Lytechinus pictus: one gene and its partners. The main gene of each other region encodes a partner of the protein of the gene in region 3 in a complex. Links are inferred from orthologs where the notes say so. Each region holds a gene or a part of one and is shown on either strand. Other genes may lie near its edges.

What was found.
Region 1: histone deacetylase 1 (region 3) and histone-binding protein RBBP4 share a complex: the UniProt entries of both Drosophila melanogaster proteins name them as parts of the DREAM complex. The link is inferred for Lytechinus pictus from reciprocal best matches to the Drosophila melanogaster genes HDAC1 and Caf1-55.
Region 2: histone deacetylase 1 (region 3) and protein lin-54 homolog share a complex: the UniProt entries of both Drosophila melanogaster proteins name them as parts of the DREAM complex. The link is inferred for Lytechinus pictus from reciprocal best matches to the Drosophila melanogaster genes HDAC1 and mip120.
Region 4: histone deacetylase 1 (region 3) and metal-response element-binding transcription factor 2-like share a complex: the UniProt entries of both Drosophila melanogaster proteins name them as parts of the form of the Esc/E(z) complex. The link is inferred for Lytechinus pictus from reciprocal best matches to the Drosophila melanogaster genes HDAC1 and Pcl.

The regions. Positions count from the first base shown.
Region 1 is NC_087248.1:6,917,317-6,924,474, reverse strand, and holds the start of histone-binding protein RBBP4, read left to right. Parts: upstream 1-4,129; 5' UTR 4,130-4,262; coding exon 4,263-4,281; intron 4,282-7,158. UniProt on the Drosophila melanogaster protein: Core histone-binding subunit that may target chromatin assembly factors, chromatin remodeling factors and histone deacetylases to their histone substrates in a manner that is regulated by nucleosomal DNA.
Region 2 is NC_087262.1:10,333,987-10,341,602, forward strand, and holds the start of protein lin-54 homolog, read left to right. Parts: upstream 1-4,588; 5' UTR 4,589-4,701; intron 4,702-7,616. Other genes in the region: COP9 signalosome complex subunit 4-like, read right to left, coding at 418-497, 4,307-4,380. UniProt on the Drosophila melanogaster protein: Component of the DREAM complex, a multiprotein complex that can both act as a transcription activator or repressor depending on the context. In follicle cells, the complex plays a central role in the site-specific DNA replication at the chorion loci.
Region 3 is NC_087261.1:583,657-590,859, forward strand, and holds the start of histone deacetylase 1, read left to right. Parts: upstream 1-4,189; 5' UTR 4,190-4,233; coding exon 4,234-4,308; intron 4,309-7,203. UniProt on the Drosophila melanogaster protein: Catalyzes the deacetylation of lysine residues on the N-terminal part of the core histones (H2A, H2B, H3 and H4).
Region 4 is NC_087259.1:16,247,744-16,254,636, reverse strand, and holds the start of metal-response element-binding transcription factor 2-like, read left to right. Parts: upstream 1-3,892; 5' UTR 3,893-4,155; coding exon 4,156-4,269; intron 4,270-6,893. UniProt on the Drosophila melanogaster protein: Polycomb group (PcG) protein.

The DNA of each region.
Region 1 (7,158 bases), on a different chromosome or scaffold from region 3:
CTATGGTACATTAACATGTTAACGTTGATTAAGATAAGAGTTCCACACTTACCAGATATATAGGTACCTTAAACAAGTCGATGAACTGATGAAGATGAGCAGTTCTTGCGTGCTTTCCCTTTGATGCTGCCTGGGATCACACACGATCCTCAAGCAATACCAGCTGTATTTATCTGGGATTACTTGTACTGGAGGGAGGGGGTGCTTACCTCGAATATATAACACAATATCAATGTGGCAGATCTGGAACATTTTGGTTGCTGTATATTGTCGATACACATTATAACACGTGATCGAAGAGATCGATTTTAACCGACAGCGCATGAGTTCGAATTAACAATACCAATGTTCCAGATCTTGTCGAAAGATTGTGTAAGTGCATGGTGTTTACAAGAAAAACAAATGAAAACTTTGTATTTGATAAAGAGCGTCGAATTTCGAACATTTGAAGGAGGAGCGGGTACATTATTTTGCAGATGTTTATATATATTTGAAATAATAAAAAGAAAGCAGTAAGAATTATACACAGCATGAAGTAAATAATGTAAAAACTTTGTTTTATTTTTATTTTTTATAGGGGTACGTGCTGGTTTGGAAGAAAAATTTGACAACCCCTCCCCCCCCCAAAAAAAAAAGTTTCACAATAAAATGTGGGTGATTCTGGTTAGGTTTCGATCTTTTTACCTACCAGATTCCAAGGAGTGCTCTGTCTATGGAGCAAAACACACACACACCACCCTCCAAACAAATCTTGGGGGTTAATACCCCAGCACCCCCGCTTCCACAGCAAGGGCCATAATTTCAAGCCTCTCAAGAAAAACACGAGAAAGGTGATTCTATAACCTTCAAAAATACACCGGATGGTTAGTACTGATGATGATGATCAGTGGTAATGAGGGGCCAGACATGACATAAGGGGCGAAATTTAAAGAAACGAATGCGAGCGAGCGAAACAAGCACTGCATAAAAAAGATGATGGTGGTGAATATAATAATGATGGTGGTGGTGGTGGTGACGATGATGATTATGATGATGATGATGAAGATCACAAACTTCAGGCTTGATGTACAAAATTTAAATTGCCAGCCCCGTGTCCCCCGCCCCTATCCCCGGGATTTTTGCCCATGCCGATCACATCCCATAAGTTATTAGTGAAACTGCAATCCACGAGCAAGCTAGCCAGGGCCCCGTCTTACAAATAGCATGTTTAAACAAAATATTTCCTAAATGTGATGTGAAATCATACATTCATTGTTTTCTTGAAAATTCAGTGAGCTTTTCTTTGTTTACAAAGACATCATGCAAATTTCCTGAGAAAAAAAAGACATATTGTTGGATTTCCATGTATTGAGATGATCAATCAATCGTAAATCTTTGTAAGACAGGGCCCTGGTCGATAGAAGATAAACAAAACGAACTGTGTAGAATGAGTTTTACTTCAAATGCATATTATGCAGTCTGGTTATTATCTTTCATATTTTTTTTGGGCTTGGTTAATCCAAATGGATGTTGATTGGCATATAGTCAACGGCTCATGAAGTTTTTTGAAAGAACTTCATTAAAAACATAAAAAAAACTTTCTGAATACATAGTCAGTATATTCTGGGAGGTGTCTTTCTGCGTTGGTGATATCACCACCACCAACAACAACAACAAATGCAGTATCGCCAACATTACCAACACCATCACCATGCACCACGTTGTCACGACCTCATCAACACCACCATCGCCGCCACCACCACAACCATACACCGCCACAAACATACCACCAAAATCCCCACCAACAATAAAACAAAATAACAACTGTATCGCTATATACCACTACAACCACCATCATCATCAACCCCAATGATATCAGTGTAAGCGAAAAGCAACTCTGATGATATTTTGCATGAGGTGCGATTATAATGATGGCGATTAATTGTGTACAATAAAATAGTCATGTACAGCAACAACAATGTTATACTACTATACTACTACTACTACTACTACTATTCTACTATTACTACTCCTATACTACTACTACTATTACTACGTACTACTACTACCACTACTACTACTACTACTACTACTACTACTATACTACTACTACTACTACTACTACTACTACTATACTACTACTACTAATAATAATAATATACTATACTACTACTACTACTACTACTACTACTACTACTACTACTACTATACTTCTACAGCAGCAGCAAACAGTTTGTACGATAGTGATTGTTAATTACATCGATATAACTGAAATGATTGACAGCATTTTAGATCTAATACTTTTCTGAAAACATGATGTTGGGTTCATTTTTGCAACGTTCATATATGATGCATATATTTGCACATTTAATGTCTACACCGGGATCGCTCAATTTGCACTTTACATTTACACGACAAATAATGCGAATGATCAGAATTTACTCAGCTTCTCCAATTCCACGTGTTTGACTTTTAATGACAACAGAAGATCTTGATTAATATTTACAAAATATAACAAACTACTTCGTACATTTTAATTAAAAAGAAATAACATGCACTTCGGACTTTTTGGGGGGGTTGATACTGGTTTTGGCGTCGCAGCCATATTCTCGAGAATAATTATTGACATTATGCCGACTAACGTCACTTCACAAAAAGTCTTATTGCAATAAAAAAAAGATGAAGCAGGAGAAGATTGAAGAAGAAAATAAACTAATATATATGTGACAGTACCCGCCCCCTCCCAGAATACCGATTGTGTTCGAAGCATATGGGTATCACTGTCACAAATATTTGTTTCCGTCTATCCGCTTAGTCTCCGAGAACTATAATCAAGAAAATTACGATGAAAAAATGGTGGTCAATGATGATACCAGATACCATCCATCATGATGTTCTTAATATAGTCTACCCCCTCATTATCACACGATCATCCTTGTCATATGATTATATAATAATCATTATAATGTTCTTCCATATGGGACTGGGTGCATGGGGGGGGGGGGGGGCGGGGTGTATCACCATGCCACCCACCTCTGGGATCTACAACACTCAGCACGGGACAAGATCTTGTTGCCTTAAATTCTATGTGACTGAGAGGGCATAAAGGATCTGGGTCCCGTTGTTAAAGGGATGGTCCAGGCTGAAAATCTTTATGCAAAATGCTGAAAATTTCATCAAAACCGGAAAACAAAATCTAATAACGAAGTTATTGAATTTTAAAGTTTATCAATATTTTGTGAAAACAGTTATATGCACATCGTCATGAATATTCATTAGGTGGGCTGATGATGTCACATCCATATCACACTTTCCTTTTTTTTCTTATGTTATTACATGAAATGTATTTTTTTTTTCTTCATATTTTCATGATGTGTCTCCATTATGATGAAATGTGTTGAGGAAAAACAAATAACTAATGCACTTAATCAGTTGTCTATCCAATTGTTTTAGTTCTTGGTAGAGAAATTTTGAATAAACCTAATTTCATATAATAAAATACAAAAGAACAAGTGGGGATATGACATCATCAGCCCACCGAAATATAAATATTCATAAAGACATGCCTAGAACAGCATATAATAATGCAAATCTTTAAAATTCAATAGCTTTGTTATTTGTTATCCGATTTTGATCAAATTGTCAGCATTTTGCTTTGTGAATTTTACTCTATTCATTGAGGTATAAATATTTCCAGCCTGGACCATCCCTTTAAAGTTACTGATATGGTAACTTTTCCATCCACTGCAATGGTAGCAAGTCTCAAGCTCAATAGCCAATCAAAATCAAGGATTCCATGACAGATACCATATGATTGGGTGGCACATTACTCATATAGATGATTTTACCGGGGGAAAATAAAAGGCCAACTAGTTTTTTGTTTTTTTTAATTCCCGCCTTAATGTCAATCCACCGCCCGCCCCCCCCCCCCCATCCACCTTTGTCGGTATCAGTCCGATTCAGCCGGTTCAAACAGATTTTGTACTTCGATCGTTACTTTTTCAGTATCTTTATTTTTACTTGTAAAGTAATATTAAGGTTAATATGAAAGAATGATCTAAACTTTGAAAAATAATTGTTTCCCCTGGTCCTGGATTATTCTTATTTCGCATCAGTTCGATAATCCGTCGATTTCTGTCTCTGGCCCTCTATTGACACTTCCGTGTCCATTCCGCGCGACATTTTTGCATGTTTGGCGGGGAGGAAATCTATTGTTCTTGGCAGAAAACGTACATTGATTTTCATCTTTCCTGGTTTCTGTGACACTAAGAACACCCACAAGCATGGCTGAAAAGGACAATGGTGAGAATATTATGCTATTTTTATTTGTTTTCATTCATCAGATTTCTAAGATGAAGGATCGTAAATACAGGGCCATTCATTCTCACTCCAATTCAAAAACTACCTTTACCGTAACCCAGAGAGCTCCCGCCCGCAGCGGGCGGGAGCCCAGAAGCTTACCGTGTAATTTACCATTGTCACCGGACTAGGGTGATTTATGGTCTAAATATTTCTCCAAATGAATTGTGAAAACAGAAAGTATACAATTACCACGATTATATGGATGAAGGTCTAACGAGTGGCAGATTCCTGACATCTGGGCACAGTCTGGAACCTCAAAAAAACGAAAAGTTCTCTCCTTCTACCCCGTCTCGATCGGCCATTTTTGTTAAAAATCGTAACAAAATGGCCGATCGAGACTGGGTAGAAGGAGAGAACTTTTCGTTTTTTTGAGGTTCCAGACTGTGCCCAGATGTCAGGAATCTGCCACTCGTTAGACCTTCATCCATATAATCGTGGTAATTGTATACTTTCCGTTTTCACAAATCATTTGGAGAAATATTTAGACCATAAATCATCCTAGTCCGGTGACAATGGTAAAATACACGGTAAGCTTCTGGGCTCCCGCCCGCTGCGCGGGCGGGAGCTCTCTGGGTTACCTTTACCGGTACCAGCGCTGCGCTGCATGCATGCATGCAGGCGAAGGTTCACGATCACGTTTGGTTTACACATGTGACGACTGTCGCAGCTGTCGAAAGAAAGTGGCGAGACTACTCATCGAGGCCGAGGAGGCGTTCGGCGGCGGCGCGCGGTGAAGCTCAGCAGTAACACTAACAAGTTAGGCGCATGGCCAATAATATCGGAGACTGTCTCCCGTAGCCTTAGACAGCTGGCAGCCGTCTGTTTCGAGGAGTTTTTTAACATTTTTTTATTTTTTAAATTTCTCCTCATACACAGACAGCTCGCTATCTAACCCAGGGAACTCCCGCCCACGCAGCGGGCGGGAGCCCAGGGGCCCGTTTCTCAACACCGTCATAAGTCTAACTTCTTGACTAAATCGAAGATAGTGAGCTACTTGTCCGCTAACCGTTTCACGAAGCCCTCTTTGCCAAGATCGGGGACAACAACCTGACCAAATATTTATGACACCTCCGAACCTTTTATAGCTACTTTCTTAATGACGTAGTGGCATCACGTGTAGTCTTGAGGACGCAATGATGATGATTTTTAAAATAATGAAATATACTTCTTCATCATTGACGTCTTGACACTCTTCCCCCAGTCGCATAAGAGAAGGACCATAATAAAGATGGATTTCCCTCGGAAATCCATCTTTAGAAACAAAAATCACTTTAATTGTATTGATTTCATTAATTTTCACACCTTCCTACGCCTAATGCGTAGGAAGGTTTTAAAAATTATAACATGAAAGTGTGAAAAATTTAAGGTTTCTTACCTAACTGATGCTGAGTAAACCCCTCGATCCACATGTAAACAACGTAAGTACAATAGCGTCGACCCTTGAACCGCTTATGTATGACGTACTTCCGGCTAGCGATGCCGTTCTGATGAATAATTTATAGAAAAAAAATATTATTTCGCAAATGTTAAAATGTATCACGTAAATTAAAAATAATTGTCAGTTTCATACCAATTATTTTTAATTACGTGATAAATTTTAACATTTGCGAAATAATTTTTTTTCTATAAATTATTCATCAGAACGGCATCGCTAGCCAGAAGTACGTCATACATAAGCGGTTCAAGGGTCGACGCTATTGTACTTACGTTGTTTACATGTGGTTCGAGGGGTTTACTCAGCATCAGTTAGGTAAGAAACCTTAAATTTTTCACATTTTCATGTTATAATTTTTAAAACCTTCCTACGCATTAGGCGTAGGAAGGTGTGAAAATTAATGAAATCAATACAATTAAAGTGATTTTTGTTTCTAAAGATGGATTTCCGAGGGAAATCCATCTTTATTATGGTCCTTCTCTTATGCGACTGGGGGAAGAGTGTCAAGACGTCAATGATGAAGAAGTATATTTCATTATTTTAAAAATCATCATCATTGCGTCCTCAAGACTACATCACGTGGGTAGACTATGACATGCAAAATTGCCTCAAAATTTGAAAATTGTAATCTTACGTAATCATTCATAGAAGTTGAAATTACATTGCAAAACAGGTGTGATAGATCATTCAATAATAGTTGTAATGCACAGAAACTATAAAAACTGTTGGTAAAACGCAACAAAACCACTCATTTTGAAATAGTAAAATAATTGAATCGATAAAGATTCTACCACGGCAGGTCATCCATAACTGGACTCGTATTCGTCGTTTTCAAACTTATCAACATTTTTGATAAATACTATCTCTAATTTATGCAAAGAATTTGTCAAAATCGTGTGTTTCGGTGTGTAAAAATTTAAACATTTATGTTAAACTATATTTTGATGATGTTTGGAACCATAAATAAACGTATAATTATCATTATTTTACAAAGAAAACAATTGTGGTTTACTTTCGTAAACTATCAAAATTTACTATCCCGGGGATACCCATCTCAATGTCCCCATGTGATTTTTTAGTCATGAAATGAATTATTCATAATTTGATTTTCTCAGCAATTGAGTGCTCCAGTCTTCATGGTTTAAGTATGCATGGTTCATATTTTGCCTCTGCTATTATTTTTATTATATGTATTTCCAAATTAATCACAATAGTTGCAGTTTTATCATATTTTTGCTTTTCAAAAATTATGCTATTTTGTGACTAAGGCTACGTCTCGTCTGCTCTTTCAACCGATAGTATCGATATCAAGGGATTCTAGTTAGGAAGCCCTTCGTGAAACGGGTTTAGTAAGATTGGAACTAACTCCGTGGTTGGTGGAT
Region 2 (7,616 bases), on a different chromosome or scaffold from region 3:
GACCTTTTTACTCTTATATCCTTTTTAACTCTTAATCTTAATGTGCCATTCACTGTAATCAGCGAGTGCCACTTTTTTTTCAGAGTCTATATTTAAATGTTTTATTTATAAAAAAGAGAATCACTCATGAGACAATTATGTTAAACCTCTTGACCATAAGCTAAACTGAACAATGGAATCACTCATGCATGCAATGCACTCCTCAAAATGCAATAGGCATAACAATAGCTGTATGACCATTGCACGAAAATGTGTTTGTGGCACTCCAGTGGATGCACAGATATGTGTTCATAGCACGTTAAGGGTTAAATAACACGAGGTAGTTCTTGAAAGCTCATACTTATTATTCCAATACCTCCTCCCAACAGAATTTTCCCTTAAATTTTTTTTTTTAATTAGAAATAGGAATCTACGTACTTGTTTCAATGAAGAACTGCAGTCCGTTTACTAGGTCATCTTCACCAAGCTGTAGAATATCGGTTAGGATTTTACGATATCTGCACGTGATAAAAATATAGGAAAATGTTCATTATCATTATCTGATTGAATCATTACCAATGATAATGTGTCATCAAATTTAAAGGATTCAATTGTAACTTACATGACCTGATGTGATTTGTCGAACTACAACTACAATATAAAACATGGCAGTACATTTCAAGATGTCATACTTACAAAATATCGAGATCAATTTCGTTACGATCGAACCTTGCAATAAAATAGACAAATATGTTGGTAATATTAGCAAATATGCCCGGCAAACCTCTCTTCATTTCAATGTCTTAGCATAGGTTGGAATCCCATCTTGATGACCAGTGTTAATATTCATATTTTCATTGGAAATTTAATAATAGCTTATAATCCGTCCAAATTAGTAGTAACAATTTGACAATGAAAACAAGAAAATTTACTAAATATCTATTTGGTCTGGTGGATTTAATGGCGGTTGGGCATGCTAACAAATTTGACCAATATTATAACATTGGTAGAAGTATTATTTTATGAAAGAAAACTTAAGATTTAGAAGGAAAAAGTATTGGGTAGGGATCAGGCCCAGCAGGGCTTTAGCCAGGATTTTAGAATTGGGTGTCCAAGTTTTCAAGCAGGGCGTAAAAAAAATGGGTGAGCAAAATTAGCCATCAATAGGTTCATAGGGCTCCATGTCTGGAAGTTGTAAACGGACATGTCAAAGGGGCAGTACTCATCATTTCCAGTAGATTCCCCCCCCCCAATATTTCTGTTTCTTAATAAACTTCTGGCTTGCCCCCCCTCCACACCCGTGCTTAACCCTTTGAACCCTGGGGGGTACTCGACTAAAAAAGTGGTAGGTATGTGCCGCGGGCGAGACAAAAACCTTTAGAGCGGGCTTATTGTAAAAAGGAGGGTCCTCGGAACAGGCTTCGGAACTATAAATGTTTGTGAAAACGGGGTCCTTGGAACGGGTCGCCAGCATGTGAGTGCGAATGCATCCCTATGGAATGGGCATACGTGCATGCAGCTAGCCCGGCAGCACGGACGCCGGGTGCGCTCGCGCAGAGGCGATGGACGGACAGCGCTCTGCGGCCGCTTTTCACCAAAATTGCAGCACATTGTAGCGGATCAATGCAGCCAGAACACCGTAACGAAAAATATGCTAAGCTTTGGAGCGGATTTCTTTCTTCTTTTCTCTCGATAAGAAGAAAATGCTATGCTTTGGAGCGGCTTTCTTTGATCTTTTTCTCAATAAGATAAAAATGCTATGCCTTGGAACGGAAATTTGAGTGTAAAAATGGGGGTCCCCTCCGCAGCACATACCCACAACGCATTATATACTGAGTGCACCCCCCCCCCCCCCCCCCCCGGTTTGAACCCTGAATTAATTGGGACGATCGTGACCCTCACCCTGAATTATAAACAGATATCAAGCTTATCAAGGAATACATGACATTTGAAATAAATGATTTCATATTGTCATGACTCGAGCCCAGCCATGTCATTGTCACCTTACTCTGCTGATACCCAGCTGATGTTGTTTAGCTTCCCGTACTAACAATAATCTCAAATTCTGTCTCAAAATCACTAATTTGACGGTAGAAAATTCAACAATGAGCACTCATTCAATGAACAAGGTTATGATAGAACCTTGTTCTCTATAACTATTTCCTGTGTGGTGAAGTAAGGTTGGCAAATGTTTGGCTTATTTTCTCATGTTCTTGGGGAAAAATGTTTAGATTTTTTGACACTGTCAGTTTCCATACAACTATTCATCAAAATCAATAACTTGGCTCTTAAAGATCAAGTCCACCCCAGAAAAATGTTGATTTGAATAAGTAGAGAAAAATCAAACTAGCATAGAACAATTTTCTTGCAATTTTACTTTCCACCATGCACCAATAGAGGGTGTACACAAAATATGCCCCAAATTCAAGGTTTTGAGAGCTCTGGTGAATGAAAAAATGATTTCCAAGTTAGTCCAATGAGTAATGTCTTTAGTCCCTTTATTTTACTTTATCATGAAAAATAAATTGCAACTGTAATTTGTATTGTTACTATGGAAATTAGTATTTTGGGTGACCAAAGTCAAAAGTGATATTTTTAATGAAATTTTAAAGTGTGTGCTGTGTACTGCATTGGCATACCATAGATCTACATGAAGATTCCCCACAGGCAGGGGCTGCAGTCAGGGTGACCAGACGTCCCATATTTCCCAGGATCATCCCGTAATTTGCTTTGTCCCGGCGTCCTGACAAACCCTTCCTGGGACGCCTATTTGTCCCGTATTTCAGAATATTGAACAAAATGTAGTTAATACATTTAAAAGTGACGAATTTTCATAAAATAACCAACAGATGACGAAGCAGAGACAACAATCAAATCAATAACTAAACTTTAAAGTTCTGCAGTGATTTTCTTGCTAACCATATACATTGAAAACGAACTGGCCTCCTGCCTGTGTGTGGCAGGCTACTAGCTAGGCAAGTAGGATCGCAGCAGATTCTCAATGGAGCAAACAACGACACAAAATCGGTGGGGAACTTGTATAATTACATTATGGATTCTCAGATTACTGATTTGGAGATGTAATCGGAGGAACAAGTTATTGAGTTTTCATAGCTAGATCTAGGTGTTTCAGCTTTCGTTTTGAGTCTTGTTATGTATGATGCCACGTTTCATCTAATTTTAAGTTGACAATATTTCACTTTGAAATTTTATTCATTTCTAAAACATTTAAGTTTAAAAAAAAACACCAAATATCATTATGATTTTCGATAGATTGGATTGTTTTTGTTTGCTTGAAGTTTGAACTTTTTTCCTCTTTCTTTTCTATCCTTCTTTCATCCTTCTATCCATCCTGCTTGCCCTTTTTTGTTCGATCTATCTTTATTTCCGATCTTTCTTTCCTGATCCTTTCTCTCTCTCTGTTCATTTTTCTTTCCTTCTTTATTCAATTTCCATTTTTATTTCCTTCATTCTTTCTTTCCTTAAACTTTTCTTTATTTGCTTCCTTCTCCTTTCCTCTCCTTTTTCTTTCCGTTCTTTCTCTCCTTCCATTATTTTCTTTTTTCCATTCTCTCCTCCCTTTCTTTCTTTCTTTGTTTGTTTTATCTTTCCTTCTAATTCTTTCCCTTATTCTTTATTTCCCTTCCTACCCTCCTTCCTCCCTTCCTGTTTTTCTTCTTTCTTTGTTTCTTTCTTTCAAAGGAAACATTATTATTTCCTTCATTCTTTTCTTCTCTCTCTCCTTTATTTTGTCTTTCACACATTTATTCATCTTCCCTTCCTTTCTTTTCTTTCTATATTCAATTCAAAGAATGACGGAAACCTTTTTTCTCTCTATTAAAAGTATTATTCTTTAATTCTAACTTTCTTTCATTCTTTTATATTTGTTTCCCTTCATTTTTTCTTTCTTTATTCTCAATTTATCTCTTTTCTTTCGTCTTTTCTTTCTCTTCTTCATTCTTCGTTCACCCACCCTTCCAATTCTTTAATTATATTTTTTCACAAGTCGAATACTGTGTAGCCTTCTTTGTTGATCTTTTTTGTCAATTTTCCCGTATTTCATTTTGTGAAATCTGGTCACCCTGGCTGCAGTGAACAAGTGTGAATGAGAGGATCGAGGAGCCAATGGGCAATGGGTATCCTCATACTGACAAAAGATATAATGCGTGGGACTACACTACAGTATATGCATACAACAAAAATGTTAATCCCACGATCTTCTATGATGAAAGGAGGGATCAATTATACTCATAAAATAACAATTTCCTATTAAAGAAGACAAATCAAACATTGAAAACTATTTTGAATACTCTTAAATGATATTTACTTTTCTGTTAGGTCTTTTGGAGCCCCACCAGCGCTCAAGAGAGTCGATAATTGTTGTTTCATGGAAGCTGCCATGTTGAGCGAGACTGATCAATTTGTGAGAATGTAATAATGTGATGATAAATTACACTTATAAAGAAAAGTTTTCTGCCAATAATAAAATACATTTTTAAAGCAAAATATTTTATTTATATCAAATTTGTGCCTAACTTTATTCTTAGATAACACTTTTTAATATTTATTTATTATGCGAGGTTGTGTGGTAAAAACGTATGCGAAATACGAAGTGTACAATTACAATAGGCCGAATGGAGAGAAGACCATTGATCGGCGCGTGATTTTGAACAAATGGATGGTAACGATGTCCTCGATTAAAGTAGGATTTTCTCATTAACCGTAAGATATTTTTTATCATCAGCTCATTGATATTACATGTATGGAAATGGTTAAATGTACTTTAAAGTTCCAAAGCGATTGGTCTATTATGAATCAGTTTATTTGCAGTTTTATTACGGCCCTGTGATATAAAATTGCTGCATCACTAAATCAATTCGCCACGTAAAAGGTGCTTGGGTGGAGAGCTTCGCTGTGATCGAAGCCGTGACCCCACTCGATCGCGAGGACAATTTTGGCCGTGCTTGTCGGGGCAGTGAGTGTGTCTTGCCTGGTAGTTGACGGCCTCTGCATGGGTTAAACATGGCCTGGCCAGTGTATTGTTGGACACAGACTCTCCATGCTGTAGTCTACCATGGAGGACAATGCTTCATGTATGTTGTTAGACAGCTGGCAACCGTCTGTTTCGAGAAGTTTTTTTTAACATTTTAAATTTTGTTTAATTCTCCTCGTACACACGTCACAAGACGGCTCGTGATTGTGCAGCCGCCATAGAGCCTTTAGAGGGTAAACATAAATAACAATGCAAACTCCTCCCGATAGGGCTCATGGATTTTTGTCTTTATTTCTTAAAAATATACAAAAAGAACTGGACCTAAATAAAGATTAGTATTCCGTTTTGGCCTGAAGTGCACCTAAACGGGGAAAAATAAACTTAAAACTGGGGAAAAATAAAAAAACAGTGACTTACTTTGGCTGTCACGCAACTTCACATCCCTGTTTTATCCGAACTTAAGACATAAACATAAAGTGTATGGCCATCGAGTCCTCTGTACAGATCGAGCTAGAACTTCGGTCTCTGTATTTGGTGAGTGGAGCCAACCAACCAACATACATGTAAATGTAACAGAGACCGAAGCTTTTTTTTTAAGTTTTAGTCTAGTTAGACAGCTGGTAGCCGTCTGTTTCGAGAAGTACTTTTTTAAACATTTTAAATTTTGTTTTAATTCTACACACGTCACCATGATTAATAGACGGTAGCGATTGTGCAGCCGCCATTATTAGGGGGTTAACATAAATAACAATGCAAAAACCCCTGACGGGCTCATGGACCAAAATAAAGATTAGTATTCCGTTTTGGCCTGAAATGCACCAAAACGGGGAAAAAACTTACTCAAAAGGAAAAAAACAGTGACTTTGATAGTCTACTTCGCAAGCTTCGGCTGTCGCGCAACTGCCACTTCGAGCTTCCCTGGTTTTTCCAAACTTAATACATAAACATATGGCCATTGAGTCCCTGTACAGATCGAGTTAGAACTTTGGTCTCTGTAATTGGTGAGTGGAGCCTACAGAGTTCAGCGGAACAACCAACATAACAGAGACCAAAGTTTTGGTCTACAGTACGTATGCATGTATGAATTCCTAGATTTTTTGGTATGAGTTTCCTATGAAAAAAAATGAATTAGAAATTTAGATAATTTAGAGTAAAACTAAGTACCCAAATATTGGACACTTATATTAAGTTAAGCATAGATCTAAATTTAATTGGACCAAAACATCATTGTCCATTGAATCAAATAAAAATCATATGTACATGTAACGTTTGTCATTAGATCTATTTTGTCAGGGTTGGCGATTTTTTTTATAAAAAAAAAATAAATTGATAGGATTTATTTGATTTAAATCAATTTTTTTTTATTCAAATCAGATTTTTTTTTTTTTGACTATTTTCTAAAACAAAGTGGAAATACCAAAAATATAACCCTTACACTGAAATCTTTTTAAAAATCATACATTTCACAACTAAAATTATTATTAACTTTTCTATTTCATAATTAAATCCAGCCAAAATGTAATTTATAAAGAATACATGTATGCAGGTCTGTATAAAGTCATGACGAAGATGCTGTTTCCGCATCCTCTCGTGTCGGGTATTTAGCTCCTACTGACTGGTTTGGTCAAGTTGAGGAACTGCCTTGGTACAGCTAATAAGTTAGTGTTCCTATTCAAATATGAAATGAGGATCAGTTTCTTTGGAAGAATTCCATGACTCAGAGACTCATATTCTTGAAAGAGAAACATTCTTGATTTTCAAACTAAGGACTGAAAATCATGTGTTTAATAAAAAAAACTCCATTTAAAAAACAAATTTAAACCTCCTTTGGTATTTGAGCCATGGTTGGAGCTTTGTTATTGTTTAAATCATTGATTTGCAAAGCTGTGTCTTATTGGGAAAAGTTGCAGGTTTATTTGAATTATTTCTTTTAGTACAATAAACCAGGAGTTGTACATTGTACTTGTACATGTTTCAATGGAAGTGATTTAAATCAATGATTTAACAAAAAAATCATAGTGAAAGTGGAGTAGGGGGCTAAGTGGTAACTGCGATAAAGGATTTATTCATGTTTTGATGATATATTGTTGATAAAAAATTTCTATTTTGAGTAAAAAAAAGTAAAACTGCCACAAATAAAAAAATTGTCAATCATTTGTACATGTTTTAATGGAAGTGATTTAAATCAACGATTTTTTTAAAAAATCATAGTGAAAGTGGAGCAGGGGGCTTTAAACCGCTTATGAAGGAGAATGTTTTGATGATATATAGTTGATAAAATCTTTCTATTTTGAGGAGAAAAAAATAAAACTGCCACAAATAAAAATATTGTCAATCATTTGTACATGTTTGAATGGAAGTGATTTAAATCAATGATTTTTTTTTTAAAATCATAGTGAAAGTGGAGTAGGGGGCTTTAAACCGCTTATGAAGAAGAATGTTTTGATGATTATAAAGTTGATAAAATCTTTCTATTTTTAGTAAAAAAAAAGTAAAACTGCCACAAATAAAAATATTGTCAATCATTTGTACATGTTTCAATGGAAGTGATTTAAAGGTCAAGTCCACCCCAGAAAAATGTTGATTTGAATAAATAGAGAAAAATCAAACTAGCATAACACTGAAAATTTCATCAAAATTGGAT
Region 3 (7,203 bases):
AAGCAGTTGTGTGTTGATTGGCTGATTGTTTGGTGGGACATTTGAAACCATGCAGTGTTAATCTTTGTATGATACATGTATGCATTTAAATGTCCATTTATGAATTGAACTTCATGGTGAAAGTTTCAGGAGTTGTTTTTAAGTATTCAAGGAATCGTGAATTGGAAAAATTTAAACTAAGGCAAAGTTTTCCTTTAAATCGATTCAATGTACAATTTAATGGGAAAGTTCACCCTGACAAAAAGTTAATTGTAATTAATAGCAGAAAAAATAATGAAAAATATTGTCGAAGGTTGGAGCAAAATCCATCTAAGAATAAAAAAGGTTATTGGAATTTTATATATTTGATTTGTGACATCATAAGCTAGCAGCTTTCCTACATATCGTATGGTAAAATATCAATGAAATGTCATTTTAGAAAATTGAAAATGGTTTTTACTGTAGGGGAGACCGGGGTTAGTTGGAACATTTTTGACAAAAATGGCTGTAAAATCCAAAAAAGATTTTATTCGAGAAACAATCAATATATCAGCTTGAAGCATATATCTACAGGCTTCAAATGTACCCCATAAAATTTTTAACTCTATATGGATACTGAAAAAAATCCACCTTGAACAAGACCATCGCAAACGTTCCAACTTACCCCAATACGGGGTAAGTTGGAACATGGTATGGGGTAAGTTGGAACACTGCATGGTCAATTAAGAATTATACTAAAACTACTTAAAACTGTAATATTACATGGTTTTAGCCTATTTGCTTTATTTTATTCAAGTTCAAAATATCAAAGTGTGGATTCATTGAACTTTATGTTTTCTATTATACAGCCACTCATGCAAGCAGACTGTGTAGTAGAATTCCGCATATTTGGGTGTGTTTGATTTTACATGCAATTAGGTGTACTATCAGTAATTTCATGTACTTCTGCATCAACTTTATAAGACAAAAATTAATTGTTTATAGTTTTTCATTAATTAATTATGCAAATAACTACAAATAAGCATATGAAATTTGCCCTAAATTTGCTTTTTTTGGTATGTTTTTGCCTTTAACTCTATTTATTAAGCTAGTAGAATGCTAATTTTTGGTGAGAGTATCAATTTTCACATTTATAACAAATATCCACCAAAAATGGCAAAAAATATAATTTCTTATGTATTTTTTGTTTTTTTTATTTGTATTTTCGAACTTTATTCCGATGAACTTTTTCGGGACTCTTTTGCGATCATAAATAGCATAAAATAAATCTATTTGAACCAACAAAAGTAAAAAATAATTATACATTTATGACTTTTGGGTTGAAAAACATAATTTGCATTGACCTTGTACATGGAATCACGTTTTTGAACAATTTGGGGTTTGACCATGCACGTACAAATTGTTGCGTAAATTCGAAACCGCGCACACAGGCATCGCAAATTTGGTCTCAAATGATGCGCAAGACTTGAAAGAAAAAAGTCAGCGAGCAGTGTAGTAAAAAAAAATTCGCGCGACGGCGTAGTGGCGAAATTTCTCGAGGGGGGGGGGGGGGCTCAAATTGACCCCCAGTTTGATAAGGGTTAATATTGCATTAGGGGCCTACCATAGGCCTTAAATGCACACTCAGACCTAACTGATAAACAAAACAAGCATGGTATACAATACATGTTCAGAAGAGCGTGAAATACTTTATATATTTTTTCTCATATCCAATTTTTTTATTCATAATTATGTTTGGGATAAGTTGGAACATGTTCCAACTAGCCCCTTCAATTTTGTTCCAACTAACCCCGGAGGCCCATTTGACGTTTATAAGCTTACAGCACAAAAAAGGAACTTGACCATGGCATATTAATAACATAATTTTGTAGCTTGGTATAAGTGTCTATTATACCCCCAAACTGGCCAACTTGATCTATAAACTTCTCTGAGATAATCAAACATTTCTGAAAGAGAAAAAAATTACTCAGAAGGTCAGAAAACAAAAATTCCTTTCTAACTTCACCAGGCTTGTTGCACATGTGTTGTCTGTAATATGGTGGATGGCTGTTGATAATGACAATAAATAGGGGGCAGTATTGCAGAAATTTATTTAAAGACGTGAAAGAAAATTACAATGTTTCAACTTACCCCGCGTTCCAACTAACCCCGGTCTCCCCTACCTTCAGTATATCAATACATAAATCATTTCACACCCGTGTCTTAAAAGAAAACAAAAATAAGTCATCAAAAACCATTAAAAAATTGAAATTTATGCATTTTATATCATATATAACATATGGGGCAGCTGCTCGTTTATGATGTCACAAATCCAAAACTTTAAATTCTGATAACTTTCTTAATCTTTAATGGATTTTCCTCAAACCTTCAGCAGTATTTGTCATTATTTTTCTGCTATTTTTACAACAAACTTTTCATCAGGGTGGGTGAACTTCCCCTTTAAACAGGTCCTCGATCAGTTACATATAAAAGCATGCTGCTGTTTGATTCAAATTGATGCATCAATGCATAGGAAGTATATTTATTCCACATGTGTGCTATAAATCATCAAGGTAGATCACATCAACTGTACAAATGTACTATACTATGTCACAGACTGTTTAGTTTTATCAAGTACCTGTCTTCAAGTTACTGAACCCCACTATCCTCCTCTCTTCAGCCTGGATGTTAAAGGACAAGTCCACCCCAACAAAAAGTTGATTTTCAAAAAGGAGAAAAATCCAACTAGCAAAACACTGAAAATTTCATCAAAATCGGATGTAAACTGAGTTATGACATTTTAAAGTTTCGCTTAATTTAAAAAACAGAATTATATGCACATCCTGGTCGTTATGCAAATTGGCAGACTGATGACGTCACCCACTCACTATTTCTTTTGTATTTTATTATATGAAATATGAAATATTCTAATTTTCTCCTACTTGTCAAGTGAAACAAAGTTTTATTCCTCCCTGAACATGTGGAATTACCATTATTCTAACAGTTTATGGTTAAGTTAAGTTGGTCCTTATTGTCAAATCTGTAAAAATTGAAATATTGTATTATTCAATATGAAATATTCTAATTTTCTCCTACTTGTCAAGTGAAACAAAGTTTTATTTCTCCCTGAACATGTGGAATTACCATTATTCTAACAGTTTATGGTTAAGTTAAGTTGGTCCTTATTGTCAAATCTGTAAAAATTCAAATATTGTATTATTCAATATGAAATATTCTAATTTTCTCCTACTTGTCAAGTGAAACAAAGTTTTATTTCTCCCTGAACATGTGGAATTACCATTATTCTAACAGTTTATGGTTAAGTTAAGTTGGTCCTTATTGTCAAATCTGTAAAAATTCAAATATTGTATTATTCAAACAAAAGAAATAGTGAGTGATGGACATCATGGACTCTCTCATTTGCATATCGCTGAGTTGTGCATTTAACTTTTTTGTGAAAAATAAGCGAAACTTTACAATGTCATAACTTTCTTATTTTACACCCGATTTCGATGAAATTTGCAGCGTTATGTTTGTTTTATTTTTCTCTATCGATTCTAATCAACAATTTTCTGGGGTGGACTTGACCTTTAATGATGCAGGTTGATAATTAGGTAGCTTAGGCAGGGCCCGACATTAGCAGTGGCCTGATTGCCCGGGGCAACCAGAAATGAGAGTTGGGCCACCAAAATTCTTTACAAGCCCACACTTTGTTGCCCGGTTTGGCTACCAAAGTTTTGATAAATTGTAATGTTTTCTATTGTTTTAGGGCCACCAAATTTGTTTTGTGGGCCACCGAAAATATGATATTGATGATTTTGGTGGACTGAGCGGCCACCCAAGAAAAAAGTTAAGTGTGAAGCTTTGGCTTAGGTCTTGAGATCGTGCTGTTTAAACTTGTTGCAGTAAAGTAGATTCAAAAGAAATTAAAAGAATCAAGATTTGCCTATTCATTCAGGGGCCCATATCATAAAAAAGTTGCTAAAATAGCAACTGTTTCTTGAATATTAACATTTGTTGGAAGAGCCAATCAGAAAGCAGGATTGTCACTGTTGTCATACTACTTGACATTTCAGCAACACTTGCAACATTTTGTGAAATGGGGTCCTGATGTTGTTAACCTTTACTATTGATGATATTTTTTACGATGATGGTACAGCGCCTGTCCACAATCACTATGCTTGTTTTATTTATTCAATGAAATAAATGAGTATTAATTTGTGTTTTATTATTGCAGGTGATGTTGGGAATTATTACTATGGACAAGGACATCCCATGAAACCGCATAGAATACGTATGACACATAATCTCATACTCAACTATGGACTCTACAGAAAGATGGAAATCTATGTAAGTATTTTAAATCTTTAAACATTAGAGGGTGCTCTTTCAGCTGAAGAGTTACCAACAACTGCACAAAGCTTTGCTATTCAAAGATCACTTGAGACTTGTTGGTTTGCAATCAAAAGAAAAATGATCAGAAGATATGCATGCTCACCAATTTCTATATTTTGCTCTTGTTGATGCTGACATTCCTTCAACTATTCTTAAGCCTGTAGCTTAATATAATAAATGCAAGATTTATTATGCTTCATCTATCTAGTAAACTATCCTGGGAAGCAGATGGAATGGGGGGGGGGGGGCTAAGGATTTACATATAAAATAATGTTTGCTTGCTGTATGTATGGGTGCATGAACAGATCAAATGAGGTTCCAATATTCAACAAAAATAAGATGAAAACATATATGATTTTAGATATTTTTCAAATGTTTAAAGTGAATCTGCTGAAAGGATCCTCAGTGGAACAGCATTCCAGAGAGATGAGCTGAAGAGGCAAATTCTTTTGTCCTCTTATTTATAGTCGGGTCCAGATTTGAGAAAAGTAGACTGCCTTAGGCAAATCGTGTTAATGCTGAATTGAGAAGTGTTTTAGCATAATTTGAGGGCGCTGAGTCCAAATTTGCTGTTTGCCAACCTTGATTTTGATGTTAAAATCCTCAAATTGGCAAAAACAATATGGCCGCCATTCTACACCCTTTTTTTGCTCTATTCTGAACCCCAAAACTTGTAACAAAAATGCTTGTAATTGGTTTTTGTCTGACCTGCATAGCAGAGTGAGACTATAGGCGCCGCTTTTCCGACGGCGGCGGCGTCAACACCAAATCTTAACCTGAGGTTAAGTTTTTGAAATGACAGCATAACTTAGAAAGTATATGGACCTAGTTCATGAAACTTGGCCATAAGGTTAATCAAGTATTACTGAACATCCTGCCTGAGTTTCATGTCACATGACCATGGTCAATGGTCATTTAGGGTCAATGAACTTAGACCATGTTGGGGGAATCAACATCAAAATCTTAACCTAAGGTTAAGTTTTTGAAATGTCATCATAACTTAGAAAATATATGGACCTAGTTCATGAAACTTATACATAAGGTTAATCAAGTATCACTGAACATCCTGCATGAGTTTCACGTCACATGACCAAGGTCAATGGTCATTTAGGGTCAATGAACTTTGGCCGAATTGGGGGTATCTGTAGATTTACCATCATAACTTTAAAGTTTATGGATCTGATTCATGAAACTTGGACATAATAGTAATCAAGTATTACTGAACATCCTGTGCAAGTTTCAGGTCACATGATCAAGGTCAAAGGTCATTTAGGGTCAATGAACTTTGGTCAAATTGGGGTATTTGTTGAATTACCGCCATAACTTTGAAAGTGTGTTGGTCTAGTTCATAAAACTTGGACATAAGAGTAATGAAGTATCACTGAACATCCTTTGCGCATTTTAGGTCACATGACCAAGGTCAAAGGTCAATGAACTTTGGCCATAATGGGGGTATCTGTTGAATTACCATCATAACTTGGAAAGTTGATGGATCTTTCTCTTGAAACTTGGACATAAGAGTAATCAAGTATCACTGAACATCCTGTGCGAGTTTCAGGTCACATGATCAAGGTCAGAGGTCATGTAAGGTCAATGAACTTTGGCCACGTTGGGGGTATTTGTTGAATTACCATCATATCTCTATAAGTGTATGGGTCTAGTTCATAAAACGTGGAAATAAGAGTAACCAAGTATCACTGAACATCTTGTGCGAGTTATAGTAGTTTTCAAAATCAGCACTGCTGCTATATTGAATCGCGTGATGCAGGTGAGACGGCCAGAGGCATTCCACTTGTTGGTACTATCTGCTCGCAGGAATAACGTATTAAAAATTTACCAATATCCAGAGACGGGGAAAATGGATGTTTTCAAGATGGCGTCTAAGATGGCCGCCATTAACTGAAAATTTAAATAACCGACACTTTATCTATACTAGACATCTTTTTCGGTGCATACATGTACATGTATTCAATGGTGTAGGGGGTAAAAAGAAAGAATGAACATAAGCACTCCCAGGTACCTGAAAATCCAAGATTGCGTAAAAATGGCTGCCATGGCCTAACAATTCACAATTCATCTATTACCTATTTTAGTGTCTTTTATTTGGGTTTTATTCATTGGTGATTTCAAGGGTCAGGAAGTAAACTGGGACAAGTTACAAGGGCAGTCAAGGGTCCCTTATGTCCAAAAATCCAAGATGGCTTTCGAAATTGGAGTCTAAAATAGATGTTGTTATCTTAAAACCCGATATACAGTAGTTTGTGTAATATCTGCCTTGAGGATTATGATGTTGGTGTCTAACCCTTGGTTTAATGGGTCAAGAAATATGTTGGGACAAGTAACAAAGACAGTCTATGGCCCTCCATGTCCAAAATCCAAGATGGTTTGCAAAAATGGAGTATAAAATGTCTGTTGTTAATTTCAAACCGACACAGTTTGTTTAATAACCGCCTGGGTATATGATTATGTTGTCTAACCCTTGATTTAAATGGTCAAGTAGTACATTAGGATAAGTTACAAGGGCAGTCAATGGTCCTGTATGTCTAAAAATCCAAGATGGCTTCCAATGAAGGAGTCTAAAATGGCTGCTGATACTCTGAATATGATTTTTTTAGTATAACCCATGGTTTAAAGGGTCAAGTATTACATTGGGACAAGTTACAAGGACAGTAATAGTGGTTCCAGTATGTCCAAAAATCCATAATGGCTTCCGAAAATGGAGTCTATAATGGCCGTTCTTACCAAAAAACTGACATAGTTTGTTTAATATCAGCCTGGGGTATATGATTTTGGTGTTTAACCCATGGTTTAAAGGGTCAAGTAATAAATAAAGACAAGTTACAAGGACAG
Region 4 (6,893 bases), on a different chromosome or scaffold from region 3:
GTATGAATAATTCCATCTCTGGAACAACCAAAATCTGTTTGATGACAATGGAGAAATTTTGCTTAGAAAATTTATGTAACACATGCTTTTGCATAATTTGGCCTAATAAATCAATTAAACTTATGCAATATGTATCACAATAATTCAGATTTTGGATATCATTGAAGGCAAGTCCAGCAAGTGCAAATGTGGCAAGTTGTGAAGTCTTTGTTAGATGCAATTGGACTTTAATCTCAGCATAAATTGTTTTTAAAGCCATTTGAATATTTATATTCACTTTTCTTGGCGACGTAACTCAGTAGTGGCTCTCAAGGTGTTGGGGTGTGGTCATTTATTGATGGGTGTGGCTAGCTCAATAAGGGACAGAAATGTCCAGTCTTGCTATTGGATGGATGATTATATTTATGTATGAAGTGATTCATCAAAAGAAAATTTTACATTCATTTAGAATTGATCCTGCCAATATTTTGTATAGTTTCTCAGGCGAAATTTTTATACGCTTTCACATTTCTATAACTTTTTTCTTCATATATTTCTGTGGAACATCTCAACTATTTTATACATCATAGCATCTTTGGTTATGTTTTTTGTGTATGTCAGGTTTCCTCAACTGTCGAATGCCAGTTTTATTTTGTTTTTGTGGAAATCTCGTTATCCATGAGTTGATGGTTTTTTGATAGATCTTGAATGATGATCCAATTGTTGAAATGAAAATGATTACAACTAGCGTGACATAAGTACCATATTAAGAGGAGGTCAATAATGGTAAAGTTTTGGTATATTATGCACTAAGGCATATGTCACCCAATTTAGTTCATAATGTTTGGACCCAGTTGCACAAATCTTAGTAATTGATTGTGGGGCTGATTTTTACGATTGATCATACATGATAGTCAATGCAATCAATTATAAAAATCAATCCCATGATCAATCGCTAACCTTCATGCTACAGGGCCCCTGAAAACAAAATGCCTAGGACACTTTAACTGCAACATGAATAGGCCTATCTTGTTTAGTCCTTTTTCAGAAGGGCTAGAATTAAATGACAACTTTGCAACCAATGTGGGGATACACTGGGGGTTGAGGTAATTCATTCCAGCTATCAAACTGCATACTAAAAATGAATGGCCAGACAAGATTTTGCAATGAAAATGATGTAAGATCTTGGCATTTTTCTTCTGTGCAAGAGATTTGTAATTTATACAGATTAATGGCGAAGTCACATTTCCCCTACGGCGGCCATACGGCGAGTCGAAAACAGTTGTTTTAATGTTCTTTGTACCAGCTAAATATAGGTGGTTTGAATAAAAATGAATAAAACGGCTGTTCTTGACTTGCCGTATGGCCGCCGTGGGGGGAATATGACTGCAGCATTACTGGTATATATTTCTGCATGCAGTCACTGGCTTTGAATGTAGAAGGGGAAATATGAAGAATTTATAATATTGAAACAAAAAAACTTGCAGCACATCCTTTCTGTACCATAATACTGCCTTTATAATGTCATTTAAAATGTGCATATTGTTTCTTACTTTTTCTACAACTGGTTTGGGGTTTAATGATTGCCACGTAGTATACTCATGCAATAAAGATTATTTATCATCTTTACATTACATTTAGTCTATGTTGACTTTTTAGTTGTGTGATTGGTTTTTTTTAAGTGTATGAAATAAAAACTGAAAATATCAGTGAATACCGCATTCATTTGAATGAATTACTGAAGCCACCTCCCGCTATGATAAAACAACACATAATTAAAATGCACAAAATACATGTACAACATGTAGCTAAACAATCTCCCATTTACAGAGATGCCGCGGGCCGGTTGGCGCGGGGAAGGATCCATGATTCTTTCATGGGTGAAAATTATGTCTCGTTGATATTGTTTCGATTTTATTTTACAAACGAGATGTTGCATCTCTCATTTTTATTTTTCCTTCACTTTCTCATTCTCCTTCTCCCCCTCTTTAATTCTCCTCGCCCTTATTATTAGTCTTCTTATTCTCATCCTCCCCCGGGCCCTCATCCACCTCTTCCTCCTTCTTCTCCTCCTCCTCCTCCTCCTCCTCCTTCTTCTCCTCCTCCTCCTCCTCCTCCTTCTTCTTCTTCTTCTTCCTCTTCTTTCTTTTTTCTTCTTCCTCTTATTTTTTTCTTCTTAAATAAATGAATGAACAAATTGAAACATAGAAAAAATAGAAAAAAATTCAAGAATGAAAGATTTTGAAAAGTAGGCCTACAGCCAAAATAGGAACAGTTTCGTCAATCTCAAGCTTTGAAATGCGTTTAAAACATTATTTTCCGTCATTTCGACCTTCGGTTGCATATCGTATCATGCATTTAAAGGGATGGTCCGGGCTGAAACTATTTACATCTAAATGAATAGAGTAAAATTCACAGAGCAAAATGCTGAAAATTCCATCAAAATCGGAAAACAAATAACGAAGTTATTGAATTTTAAGTTTATCAATATATTGTGAAAACAGTTATAAGCACATCGTCATGAACATTCATTAGGTGGGCTGATGATGTCACATCTCCACTTTCCTTTTTCTTATGTTATTACATGAAATCATACATGATTCATTTTTTCATACATGTGTATAAATGATGTGTCTCCGTATGATGAAATAAGTTGCGGCAATAAATAACTAATGCACTCAATCAGTTGTCAATTCAATTGTTCAGTTCTTGGTAGAAAAATATTGAATAATTCTAATTTCCTATAATAAAATACAAAAGAACAAGTGGGGATATGACATCATCAGCCCACCTAATATTCATAAAGACATGCCTCGAACTGTTTCACCGGAATAATGCATATCTTTAAAATTCAATGACTTTTTTATCCGATTTTGATCAAATTTTCAGCATTTTGCTTTTTGAATTTTACTCTATTTTTTAGATATAAATATATCCAGCCTGGACCATCCCTTTAAACATACATCCCATCTCCCCCTTTCAGGAAAAAAATATTTATAGCTATATGGTGACTAAGTCCATGTGGCTAGCCACACTGACTGAATGAGGCTTAGTAATCAGCTTTTAACTCAACATTCTTATTTTTCCATCGTACATTATTGATCCCACTGCTGCCACCAGTTTGCGATATGAGGGGGCCTATTAAAGAGCTAGTGCAAATATCAGGTTCACCTGTGGGCCGGGTGATAATCTGCCTGTATATGGTGATGATGCCAGGGGTGATGCACTTCAAACATTTTGACCTCATGGTTTTTGTATTTGTTAAACATAATATGGCCTGATAAAATAATGTAAGATAATGATCAATAGAAACATTCAATAATCTCCACCAGGACATGATCCGGCCAACCTAAAGAGGAGAAGGAATTTGGAACTGAATACATATAATGACTTCGTTCAGTATACTCCCTAATAGTATATCCCTAAGTAAAACGGTAAAAACAATATCTTTTCAGATCAAGATCGATGGGTCGAGTCATCTGCCTCGGCTGCCCCATATATCATTTATTATGCCCTCCATTTCTGCCCCTTTATTTGAAACAAAATAAAGTTCGATCTGCGCTTCCACTTTTTGGGTAGACCTGAATATTCAGAGGAAGCCATGGATCGAAGCTGAGCTCCCTGAGCTTTACAAAACACTTTTTTTTTTGGGGGGGGGGGATAGAGGGAGAGAGTCAGCTAGGAATTGCCCGGGAATTGCTGATCTTCGGGATGCAAATCTAAAATCATTTCCCCATAAGTAGCCTAGCTACCGGGCCTAGCTACTATATAGGCCTATATGTTTGTCCGGATGTTTGTTAATTCTTTCTTTTATTTTCAAAGAAATGCTGGACCCCGGTGCTGGACCTTGGGCCCTGGACCATACTAGTTCGGTAGTTCCTCGAAAAGATGAAACAGTAGCCTACATAAAGATAGACCTGGATACTTGACTGCTGGAACAACGCTGTATATTTTCAGATGCGGTATAAAGACAAAGGTATAAAGAAAGAAAAAAAAAATAGAGAGGAATACCGGAAGTAGTAGTCACCTCGCATCATCATTCATCATGGGTTTTCGCGGGAAACTATACTCGTGCAATATTCACACACATTTTGTACACAAAATATAAATGGAGCAAACGGATTGCTACATGTAGCTAGGCATGCGACTCTTGCGATGAGTTGTCCAGTGGCATGAATGAGTCAGAATGTCGTCACATTTCAGCTGAGTAGGTCTAATTTGCCAAAAGTACATCCAAATCGATGTGGAACACTGCAGCTGAAGCATAACTCTGAAGTGAAGGAGCATTTCGTAAGTTTGGACTTCATTGACAAACCTTTTCTAAGTTTACGCCTGCGGGTAGTCCCACGTGTGTAAATTTGTGCTGTGACAAAATCAGTATAAATAATTAATACCAGTCAGAAATTCGAAAATTTTGGGATGGTTGAGGCATATAAAGAACTATCATTCACTTTAACGAGGATCTAATAAGTCAAAGGAAATGGTTGGCAGCCAAATGGTTAATGGTTTTCTTTTTTTGCCACATCATCATAATCATCAGTAGGCCTACCTCGAGTGAAGTTCGTGCAGGCTCCACTCCACTTCACTACCGCTACACTACGGCTACGCTCCACCAACCCGAACGTCGAGACCATGAACTCGATCGGATATTCCGAGTGACAAAAGGTGGGATTTTATGGGGAGAAAATACAAAATTCATGCAACATCACGATCTTTAAGTTTAAAAACAAGTAAAACTAATATTCTTACTTTACACAAAGTTTCACTTCTTTTCCATGCTTCTAAGTTCTATCAGTCTCAAAATTTATGATTTAGAGCCAACATGAAGTTCCTCACACGTAATAATTCGCTGCCGATTTCAGAACATCGCATGCGCGCGAGGGTCCGAGCTCGGACCAGACCCGGTACCTCCCGCATGCGATGTTTTGAAGTCGGCAGCGCATTAATATTTATACGTGTGAGGAACTTCATGTAGGGTGTCTGAAGCCACACTGAAAAGTGTCAGCATAAAACAGGCTGATTTAGGGGGAAATATGGCACATTTTTTTCAGGGAAGTTCAGGCTACTAGAAAAATGTGATCTGAATTGATTATTAACTTGTGTTTGGGATGTATGGAAAGAGAAAATTCAGGGGCTTCTTTTGACAGTAAGGACAAGTTTATATGATCATTTTGAATAAGGATTTAGAGATAAATTGCAAACCCTTATTTTTGTGTGTGTTGAGATTGCCATTTCTCCATGCGTTTTCTATGGGAAAATGAAATTTCTGTTTTGCACAATTTTTTTCACTTTGTCGCAATTTTTCATTGTGATCTGGTTTCCAAATCTTTATAAAAATCATACCATCAGATAGAGCATAAAAAATCCTATTGGACTCTTTATGGACAAGTTTTTGGCATTAGTAATGAATTTATAACAGCTCTCGGAAGCTAGAAATTTGGATTTGTGTGTGTCCATTTCTTAACTACACAGTCTATGGCAGAGAAATGCTGAAAATTGACCTAATTTCATTCTTCTTTTTTGCAGCCAATAATTGGAATTTTTTCAAAAAATTTACATTTCTGTCAGTCTGAAGGTCATTTCTCTTCAAATTCACAAAGAAAATGTGATATTTTCTTGAAATAAGAAAAATAATTTTTTTTCTCCAGACACCCTACTTCATGTTGGCTCTAAATCATCAATTTTGAGACTGATAGAAGCATGGAAAAGAAGTGAAACTTAGTGTAAAGTAAGAATATTAGTTGCACTTGTTTTTAAAGATCGTGATGTTGCATGAATTTTGTATTTTCTCCCCATAAAATCCCACCTTTTGTCACTTGGAATATCCGATCGAGTTCATGGTCTCGAAGTTCGGGTAGGTGAAGCGTAGTGTAGCGGTAGTGAAGTGGAGTGGAGCCTGCACGAACTTCGCTCGAGGTACATCATCAGTAGAGCCTAGAGGCGCACGGCCAATATGGGAGACTCTCTCTAATAGGGGAGACAATCTCCCACATTGGAGACAGTCTCCAATATTGGCCGTGCGCCTCTACTGATCATGTTGTGACGAAAACTTCACATTGATTGACATTGACTTTGTCATTGAATCTGACTTTCGATAGTTTCATGACTTGGAAGTTTGGGGCTAATGTCTAATGACGAACGTTAACTCAAGTTTTATTGCCTGGCTGCAGTTTCGCACCGGTAGCCACTCATACTACGAACGAGGTTATAATATAACCTCGTTCTCGGCTGTATGCCTTCCAATTGTAAAAATATACATTGCTCATTTTCCCTCCATCCGTTTTTTTTATTATTTTTATAACAAATTTTGTCTATGACTACGCCTCACATACCTCTTTTCCCATCCCCTACCTTTTGCTGTATGGCGAATGGTCGTGGATAACGAGTGCCGGTAGCCAGCTTTGAGAGAATTCCCCACCAGTATTAATTGTTTGCAAAAGCCAAATGTCATAGCAAGTCTCTCAATCACATTTCAAGGTCAATAATGCCCACCCCTTTTCTGAATTATCACGATCGGGAATGGTTAGCGACCAAAATCATGCAAACGAACAGGTGAGCTGCCGTAGGCGTAGGTCGCTAACTCTAGTCCATACATGACATTCAGTTCTTTATCTTGACTGAGCGATACTCGTCTCATCTAGCCTAGAGGACTCCGTGATCAAAATTTTTTATGATTTTGATATTGTCAATTTGATCACGGAGCCTAGACAAGGCAGGCTATGCCACTGTGGAGAAGATCGTAGTCCAGAAGGGAATTCCCTTCATATTTAACATTAGAACTTGTGCCATATATAGACCAAAATTTTATTAAATTGTATACCTTTATACACCTAATGCGTATAAAGGTATGATAGTTTCCCCCCCAAAATAAGACAAATTAGAGGTTTCTTACCAGACGGATGTCATGTATCCAT